Linked DNA regions of Arabidopsis thaliana. The protein of the gene in region 2 interacts with the protein of the main gene of each other region in a pairwise test. Each region holds a gene or a part of one and is shown on either strand. Other genes may lie near its edges.

The links. The genes of interacting proteins can lie anywhere in the genome.
Region 1: the proteins of RMR1 (region 2) and NF-YC13 interact in a two-hybrid assay, tested with the Arabidopsis thaliana proteins (one large-scale study listed by BioGRID).

Annotation. Positions count from the first base shown.
Region 1 is NC_003076.8:17,354,584-17,359,019, reverse strand, and holds NF-YC13 (nuclear factor Y, subunit C13), read left to right. Parts: upstream 1-2,313; 5' UTR 2,314-2,453; coding exon 2,454-2,846; 3' UTR 2,847-3,175; downstream 3,176-4,436. Other genes in the region: AT5G43260 (chaperone protein dnaJ-like protein), read left to right, coding at 1,034-1,327; AT5G43240 (hypothetical protein (DUF674)), read left to right, coding at 4,255-4,436.
Region 2 is NC_003076.8:26,442,745-26,448,302, forward strand, and holds RMR1 (receptor homology region transmembrane domain ring H2 motif protein 1), read left to right. Parts: upstream 1-2,341; 5' UTR 2,342-2,453; coding exon 2,454-2,583; intron 2,584-2,669; coding exon 2,670-2,906; intron 2,907-3,051; coding exon 3,052-3,441; intron 3,442-3,862; coding exon 3,863-3,960; coding exon of another isoform or gene 3,961-3,978; exon of another isoform or gene 3,979-4,056; coding exon 4,057-4,134; 3' UTR 4,135-4,689; downstream 4,690-5,558. Other genes in the region: AT5G66150 (Glycosyl hydrolase family 38 protein), read right to left, coding at 61-161, 254-367, 451-522, 590-793, 859-1,033, 1,108-1,196, 1,280-1,363, 1,460-1,690; STR18 (sulfurtransferase 18), read left to right, coding at 5,084-5,190, 5,274-5,353, 5,432-5,502. UniProt on the Arabidopsis thaliana protein: Involved in the trafficking of vacuolar proteins. Functions probably as a sorting receptor for protein trafficking to the protein storage vacuole (PSV) by binding the C-terminal vacuolar sorting determinant (VSD) of vacuolar-sorted proteins.

The DNA.
Region 1 (4,436 bases), 9.1 Mb from region 2:
ACAATATAATAGTAACAATAGAACAATAAACCCTAACCAAACAAAGTAAGAATTACATTCCTCTAATTTTAGTGCATGTAAGTTCGGTTATCACTGCAAACTTAATCATTTCCCTATTGACTAATTCGTAACATAGTTTATACTTTCGATTAATCAATTAATTAATTTACAGTGAATTTGTGAAAAACTTCTAACGAGAAACTTATTATGTTATAAAAGTCAACAAAAGAACTGTATCACACAGAACATATATATTGGGTCTGATTGGTAACCAAAAACTATACAAGTTATTTAGCTGTTAGCTTTATCGGAATAGTGTAAAACTGTTAAAATGAGCTGTACAAAAAAACTGAGAGTAAATTTTTTTGTAACGCTTTTGATAAAGTTTTTGTGATTAGTAACTGTCAAAATTGTATTGTTATTAAAATGGTTACCATTCAAATCTATTAGGTAAAATACAGAGCCGTCCATAAGTACAAGCGGGTCAAACACAAGCTTGTGGCCTCAATTACTATAAATAAAATTTTGATTTTTTTTAGTAGAAAAATTAGTTGCTTGCTTCTTTGATGACAAAAAAAAAAAAGCAAGCAGTCAGATAAATCAATGATAATCTAAAAAAAAGAAAAATCTGACGAAAAAAAAAAAGAAAAAAAAGAAAAATCTGAAGGTTGTACACTTGTAGAAGATATTTTACACACACAGCCCAATAAAAACCCAAATCCAAAAACTGGAGTATCCAAAAAAAACACGGCTGTTTCATTCATCTCCTCACACAACAACTTAACCCTCACTAGCCCACGTGTTTACTTTCTCAACCATTCCCTTATCTCCCAAAATTGTATTTACTTCAAAAATAAACCGAACCGTATCAAATTAAAACAAGACCACACTTTTGTCTGAACACAAAAAAAAAAAAAACTTTTATTTTTTCCTCGAGACGTCTCTCTTCTTCAATTTCTTCACGATTCTACTTTTGCGTTATCCCCAAAATTGGCAACCAAAACCAAACCTCTCTCTCTTATTGAAACCAACAATGAGTCCGATCGTCATAACCCAGTTAGCTACAGGAATCAGCGTTTTAGCCGGTGCGGTCTTTATCAAATCAGTCATGGACCAAAAGCCTATGGCTGGTCAATTCCCTCGTTGTCCGACTTGTAACGGTACTGGACGAGTCACGTGTTTCTGTTCTCGATGGTCCGATGGTGACGTTGGATGTCGTAGGTGTTCTGGTTCAGGTCGTGCGGCTTGTAGCAATTGTGGTGGTTCTGGAACTGGTAGACCTTTACCGGCTCAGATTACGGTTCAGCCACCGAATCGTCCTTATTGATGATTCTCAAGAAATTTGTATACTTTGTAAACGATTCTTCTCTCTTGAACTCTCTCACTCTCTGTCTTGTAAGTTGATTATATATATATACACATAGATGAGAAACAGATTTGATAGCTTCTGTGATATTTTTTCTTGTGTTGGGTTGTTTTGTTACTGTTCATAGTCAAAATATTCGAATTTGTCATTATTGGTGGCTCAAATCTTTAGTATTAACTATTAAGAATTAAGATGATGGGTTTGATCCAATGATACGAAAAGTTAGCTTCTTCTTGTATATTGTTGTAAATGGACTTTGTTGGATGTGTTTGGTTCATGTCTAGTACTCAATATGTGACCATGAGATGTTTCAACAGCCTCTTGTTCCAATGGTATGAAATTGGTTCATGTCTACAACCTCAAAACGTTGTAGAGGAAGGAGTGTTGTGTGTGAATTTTGTGAAAAGCTGCGAATAGTAAAGAGGAAACGGATTAGTTATAACAAATTAAACAGCTACAATTGTAGTAGATGGTCTCTCAAGTCTCAAGATTAGAAACATCTCGGAGCCAAAAAAAGGCTTCCTACAGCCATATAGAAGTATAATCTCAAATCATTATCCACACTTGGAACTATCTCTAAAGCTCATTTGTTATTTGATGGCATTTCTAGTTCGATATGCCACTCCTTAAATCCGTTGCGTTCGTGAAGGATCAATGGGGTTCAATTCAGGTAGCTAGGAGATTTGTACCAACTTGTAGCTTTCTAGAATTCCTTGTACAATGTGATCCAAGTAAAAGAAAGAATCGGTTAAAATTTTCAATATAAAACTTTAAAATAGACTACTAGTACTAGTTTGAGCTAGACAGTGACTCATGTAGAAACAATCTCTACAACATAAAAATCTACGAACCATACCGGGTTACCAAACGTTCTTCTCAATCTCACCAATCGGTTTAAGCTGAAAACCCGAATTAGCAAAATCTTCGTTCGGGCTGTTTTGGTTAATCCGGTTTACATGTTTTCTCATTGCTCATTTTCATTTTCCCGCCGTGACAGAGCGCGTAAATCTCAAAACCCTAAAAATGTCGAACATATACAATTCATTACCTTAATCAGATTTTCTCAACAGAATCAAAATCAAAATCCATGGAGGAAGAAGAAGGATCAATCCGACCAGAGTTTCCAATCGGAAGAGTAAAGAAGATAATGAAACTGGACAAAGACATCAACAAAATCAACTCAGAAGCTCTTCACGTCATCACTTACTCCACCGAACTCTTCCTCCACTTCCTCGCCGAGAAATCTGCTGTTGTTACGGCGGAGAAGAAGCGTAAGACTGTTAATCTCGATCATTTAAGAATCGCCGTGAAAAGACACCAACCTACTAGTGATTTCCTCTTAGACTCGCTTCCGTTGCCGGCTCAGCCTGTCAAACATACCAAATCGGTTTCCGACAAGAAGATTCCGGCGCCGCCAATTGGGACTCGTCGTATCGATGATTTCTTCAGTAAAGGGAAAGCAAAGACTGATTCAGCCTAAAGTAAAATTTCTCATTTTGTTCACAATTGCAAATTTTACTCTGTTCTCAAATCAAAATCTTGTTTTGCTAAAAGTGTAGTGAGAATGTATGGATCATGAGGAACTTTTATAGGAATTGGTAATTTTAAAGATGTTGTGTCTATTAGCATTTCTACTAATTGGAGAAACTGATTCTTGTCCTGTGACTGTGAGATACATCTCATTGTGTTGCTTAGAAATCTCTGCATTGCTCTAACTTTGGTGTGTAGAGATTGAGAGAGAGAGAGAGAGAGGTTTGGGATGTGTATTGTTCTTCTAAGCTATTCTTATATGAATACTACTTTTGAGTGTTTATGTTCTTCTGAAAGAACATGGCTATAGAAGTTGTCGCCGTTACAATAGTATGTTATACTTTCTTTGATTGTGAGCTAATAAGCGCGGTTGTGACCGAGCAAAATGAAAGCTTTTGCGGAATGTATGTTTCAGTTTTCTTTAGTTTTTCATTCTGACAAGTTTTCTAGAGTAGAAGTGAACCAGTCTGATGGGTAAAGTCTGAAACTTTTAACAAGAAAGTGTGATATTTCTCAAGATCACTATCCATGGTTACATTTCTCAATAACTCCTCTCAAACTTCATCTTATATCATCTGCTTTGTAGTGTGGATTTGGTATATGTTCTTTATTTGCTTTTATGGTTTCAGACCAAGTCTAGTGGTATTCAATGATGACTTGAGTGTCCAAAAGCTCTTATTATGTTCTCGGAATTGTGAAAGAAAAAAGTGATTATGTTGACATATCAAATTGATTGAATCCAATGGAACATCCACTTTCTTTAATATTCCGTTTAGTTATTATGAGAACTTGAACCGTTATAATTAAACAACATAAACCAAGCAATTGTGTTCTTTTCGGAACTTGTGGTACATGAACCCGGCGAATTGGATTTACTTCGTTATTTGTTGCCTCTTCCATTCCCGAAACCTTTAATTAAGGCCTTTGACCATGTCTTCTCTAAACTGTTCCACTTCCTCCACTTAAGCTTTATATAAAACCTCAAGTCCTATGAAAAGAACACAATTGCTTGGTTTACTCTAACAAGGTAAAATCTTACGCAGCATATATAGATCATATTGTTGAATATTTATGAAAGTAGTTTTTCCAAGAATTGATGTGTTTGTAGTTTCTTCTGTTTCTAAGCACTAGGAAACCATTTCTTTGATGCCACGTTAGACTATGTTCTTCTGAGGTTTTTGTTCATTGTTAGCCTCGTTACGTATTTTAGCATGTATGATATATGAACAGACTCCGCTCTGTTTAGCTTTTATAAAATTGTTACCTATTTATACAAAATCAATGTAGCTATCGTCTCTAACATGGCTGTGTAAAAAGTGACCTTTTTCATTGTATCAGTGCAGATTTTGTATCAAGACATGTCAGCTACTTTGAAGAATCCGGTGATTAAGTTGAAACTACTCATAGATGAAGAGAAAAACAAAGTTGTATTTGTTGAGGCGGGTAAAGATTTTGTCGATTTACTCTTTAGTTTTTTTACTTTGCCAATGGGAACGATTGTTAGATTGCTGGAGATGTATAAGAAGTCACAGAAAATAGC
Region 2 (5,558 bases):
CAAGTTGTTGAACAAAAGGAATATGTAAATTTATTTGGTGACAGTACTAAAGGCACTCACGGGAAAAAGTCATGAGTCTTGAGAGGCCAAGTAACATTGGCAACATTCTTGGCATCAACATAGAGAGATGGTGTGGAGTACAAGGCGTTCACACGGCCATCCTGTTGAATGGAATTATTGGTGATGAGAATCTAGTCTCCAAAGACAGCGAGATTGATATTGAGCAATCACAGCAAGCAAGAGATATGAAAACCTTGTTAACATAATGGATAAGTCTGTCCATCTGTCTGAACCAAGACTCGGCGAACTGGTACTGAAAATCATCGCCCATTGTCCACATCACATGGTTCCCTCGACTCACATTAGCCTATGTCCACATTGACTACTTTCAGAATTAATCCAAGATTACACACACACTTGAAAAAAAAAAAAATACTACTCAAGACTTACATAAACAAGAGAAGCATTGACGAAATCATTAACCGCCTCCTTAATGTTATAGCCATCGAAACGAGGGTTGTCCTGCAAAATGACGAGTGAACCGAATTCCCCTAAACCAAAAACCAAACGGGAGAAAGAAGAAGCGAACCTGGAGGGGTACGTAATCGTCGGTGACTTCATAGTGAAAGCCAGTGGGAGGGCCGTAATGAACAAAGAAGATATTGGTGAATATCTGAGAAGAAGAATCCAGTGTTTTTGATCCTCTCCAGATGACTTCAAGTGATTTCTCGGCCTTTCGCTTTTCTCTGTCTTGGTAATCGATTCTCGCGAAATGCACAGAATCCAACCCTAACTGCACCCCCACCAAATTAAAACACACTCATAAGGAAATAAAGAAATAAATAGATTAGAAGGGACCTCTGCTCCAAGGAGGTAAGCTTGAACAGAGGAATGACCAAAGGGATCGATTTGCCAAGCAGCACGTGGAGTTGTGTTGAACTGTTGCTTTATAAACCGATGCCCCTTTGTGGTTTGGTCTATCATATCTATGTAATGGCACGTTGCTTCATCATTCATAGCCCATCCTCCATTTCTGCACATTGATTGTGTGAATTGTATCAACGCTAGGTAGCCAAAATGATAAAATTAAGGTCGTGACCTACTTACACAAACTCTAGTTGCCCGGATTTCACTAGTCTCCTCACTTGCTCTTGTCTCTCGGGGCTTTGTTCTTCCCACCAACGCGTAAAGAAGGCCTTTTTCATGTACATTGATGTTCACATAAGAGAAGAAAACATATATTATGGTTTTATGAACAAAACCATTATTAATGTTTTACCATTTCCGCAAACACAAACTTTCTATTGGGATCACGAAGTAGAGAATCCACCACCGAGTCTAGGACGTTCCTCACGCAAGCGTTCTGAAACTCACAATTCATTTGGGATATATAGTACGTTAGACTCGTCTCTACATACATACATATATATGATTCATCATTCATCTGTAGATAACATACCTGGATTCTGTTGTTAGATCCTACGTAGTACTGATCAACAGTTTTCAACCAGCCGACATCGTCATGCGAATGCGGAACAAGATGAACATTTAGTTTCCCCGGAACCACTTTAGCTTCGGTTCCATACTTCACGTATCCCCCGCCTTTGACGCTCTCAACCAACGACAACAGAAGAAGAAAAACAATAACACAAAGTGATCCTTTCAATAAAGACATACCCGGTTTCTCCATTTTCCGATGGCAGAGTTTTCAGATGTTTTTCTTTCTTACAGGGTGTGGAGGAAACTTATAACAAGAAAATGGAGAGAGAGCAAAACAAGGGTCATAACAAAAGACCAAATCCTTATCGTTTGTTTTTGCTCAGATCCGTCGGTCTTTGTTAGAGTCTCTCTATTGTTTTACTGTGACTAGATTGTCATTTCACCATATGTAATAATTAATTAGGTTCTACAATAATCTTATTTTCCTACAAATTTAATTAAAATCTTGACCCTAAAATAGTACTTTATTAAATCTTTTTTTCTTCTACTTTGATGTCAACATTAAAATTGAAGTTGATCTGTTTTGAGTTTTGACAATAGTCATTTACCTTTTCTTTAATTTTATTTAACAAATAGTTTTGGGAAAAAATCTCCCTTTCTTTGATAATACACAAATCAATCAATATAGAGATAATTAAACCACGTCTTTACAGAGAATAGAAGCAAATCTTTGAGCTAGTAACATTTTAGTATAAAAATCTCAACAACAAGTCATTTACATCATTGCAACTGTTTTGTTCTCTTCATTTGACTTGGGGGTTGTTTGCTTGCAAAGGAGGCTTTGTTTGTACGTCGTCGTTTTTATTCCGTATATAAAATATAAATTAACGAACTAATCTTTAAAGCCTCTGAGACGAGTAGAAGGTTCTCTCTGGTGAAGAAACCAATGCATTTCGGCGACAGCCTGAAACTGAAAAGCCATCGATCGACCGAGAAAGCGAAAAGAGAGAGAGATGAGACTCGTCGTCTCAAGCTGTCTACTAGTTGCAGCTCCTTTTCTCTCCTCTCTGTTACGAGTCTCACTCGCCACTGTTGTCCTCAATTCCATCTCCGCCTCTTTTGCCGATCTCCCAGCCAAATTTGGTCAATTTCTCCCCCTCTTCCTTTTTCCTTATCCGAAACAATTTCTCGAACAATCTGGTTAAAAAGAAGTTGATTTTGATTCTCAGACGGCTCCGTGACCAAAAACGGAATCTGTGGAGCTCTATACGTCGCAGATCCTCTCGACGGTTGCTCACCGCTTCTCCACGCCGCCGCATCCAACTGGACGCAACACAGAACTACTAAGTTCGCTTTGATAATCAGAGGCGAATGTTCTTTTGAGGATAAGCTGCTCAATGCCCAGAACTCAGGTTTTCAAGCTGTGATTGTCTATGACAACATTGACAACGAAGATCTCATCGTCAGTAAGCCTTTTGCCTCCCACCCAAGTTTAAAATTCCATCTTTTCTTCTCCTGATGAGCTAGGGTTGAGCTGAATTTCATTGGAGTTATTTAATTTAGTCAACGCCCCCATAAGTTTGGAGATTGACCAACATCTGTTTTGCACAGTGAAGGTGAACCCTCAGGACATTACAGTTGATGCAGTCTTCGTTTCAAATGTCGCCGGTGAGATTTTGAGAAAGTACGCGAGAGGCCGAGATGGTGAATGCTGCCTTAATCCGCCAGACAGAGGGAGCGCTTGGACTGTGTTGGCCATCTCCTTCTTCTCTCTCCTTCTTATAGTCACTTTCCTGTTGATTGCCTTCTTTGCACCCAGACACTGGACCCAATGGCGAGGGAGGCACACCAGGACCATCAGGTTAGATGCAAAGCTCGTCCACACACTCCCCTGCTTCACCTTCACTGATTCTGCTCACCACAAGGCCGGGGAAACATGTGCTATATGTCTCGAGGATTACAGATTTGGAGAAAGCCTCAGACTTCTCCCCTGCCAACATGGTACTTACTCCTATTCTTCTGTGGAAATAAACTGGCAACTTGCCACCCTTAATGTGTTCATTGAGGTCTTGGAAATGTATATTTATGAGACACAGATCTTCCCTTCACAGGATTGAAACATGTGCTTACTATTCTAGGAAGACTTTGATAGGTTTCTCTTAGATTCTAACTTTATAAAATAGATTTCTTTCTAGCATAAATTCCTCTGTTTTAGGGTTGAAGGTACAATATATTCCGTTTCTGTCAATTCCAGTTTGATAGGTAAGCACCGAATGCGAACTTTTTGGTATTACTCATTGCTTCGAATGATATGATGGGTCGAATATGTACATCAGAAGAATAAATTAAAGATTTGACCTTTTTTAGTTTATGTAAGTGGGGGTAATTCATAGCAGTTGGTTGATTTGAAGCTCTTATGCAGCTTTTCACTTGAATTGCATCGACTCTTGGTTGACAAAATGGGGTACATCTTGCCCTGTGTGCAAGCATGACATAAGAACCGAGACTATGTCTTCTGAGGTGATCCTGTTAGACTGAAATGTATAAATCCTTTCAGTAGTTATTTTGTTGTTTTTGCGTTGGGTTCAATACACTGTTTGTGTTGTTTTGTTGCAGGTACATAAACGAGAGAGTCCGAGAACAGATACAAGTACGAGTAGATTTGCCTTTGCCCAATCCAGTCAAAGCCGTTAGAGTTATTATCGGCTTAGCAGCTGAACACTCATATCAGTGCTCGGTTACCTGGATCAGGTCCAGGTTTGCATCTTATATTGAATGGTTAATCATGGTGGGATAAGTTTAGGTAAAGGGACCGGATCTGCCATACTGGTCGTGCTTTGCTGGATTCCCAGATCAAAAAGATATGAGTTGCTTTGCCTCTTTTTCTTTGCATGTGTACATTTACATACGCTCTGAGTCATGTGTACATTTGATCATTGTGTGTGTGTGTGTGTTATAGATTGAAAAAATGTGTGTGATAGTACAGATATGCAAACAAATTGATAGAAAACAAATGTTGGTCTAATCAGATTTTCTCTCTCCGATCCAGGCAAATCTCTAATGTTATCTTGTTGATAATTTCTTTGCCTAAAGTTTGTATAATATGAATATTGAATCTGATTCCCTTACATGGGGGAATGGAATCCATTGAACGTGGCTTTGATTTTGTCTTGTCTGTAGTAATAATAAGAAAAGAACACGTCATCCTCATCTCTACCTAACGACTCATCCAATACGATGACTCGTTCATGGGTTTGTTAGTTGCGCAATTCCATCACCAAAACTTTCTATTACATACTCAACTTCTTTTGATTACTAAATTCAGCCAACATTTCCTTCTCATCTCTAATCAGTGAACACGTTTTCTATGCAGGCTTTGGGGCCTATCTTACCATAGCTGTCTAAGAAGACTATTATCTTATATTCTTTATTGTAGATTTCATTTACTTGCGTATGGAATTGGAAACAAATTTCTAATTGTTGAATCATATACCATTATTTTTATATTGGCCATGCATGTGTATAAGTGGAAGATAGAACAATATTAAAACAATATTATTGTGTTTGGTCCTATTTATTACTCTCTGCTCTCTTCCTGAAGCTTCTTCATCTTTTTGTTTGACAAGAAGAGGTAGAGAAGAAGATGTCTCAATCAATCTCCTCCAGCACAAAGGCAGAAGAAGTTGTTAGTGTAGATGTGAGCCAAGCCAAGACTCTCCTCCAGTCTGGGCATCAATATCTTGACGTTAGGTGAGCTTCTGATCTATTCTATCATATCACCATGCATGTACCAGCTGCTGCGGTTGTTAATGAAAAATCCTTGCACATGGCAGGACTCAGGACGAGTTTAGGAGAGGCCATTGTGAGGCAGCTAAGATCGTCAACATTCCCTACATGCTCAACACACCTCAAGGTAAATCAAATATCAATCACCTTTAATTAGAGATATCAACCAGTACATGAGTTAAAGCCTTGTGATCTCTACTCTTAGGTAGAGTGAAGAATCAAGAGTTCTTGGAGCAAGTATCTTCTCTTCTAAACCCAGCTGATGATATCCTTGTGGTAACTCTTTTCTTCCTCATCACACCCACAAGAATTAAAATCTGCCGGTGAAAACG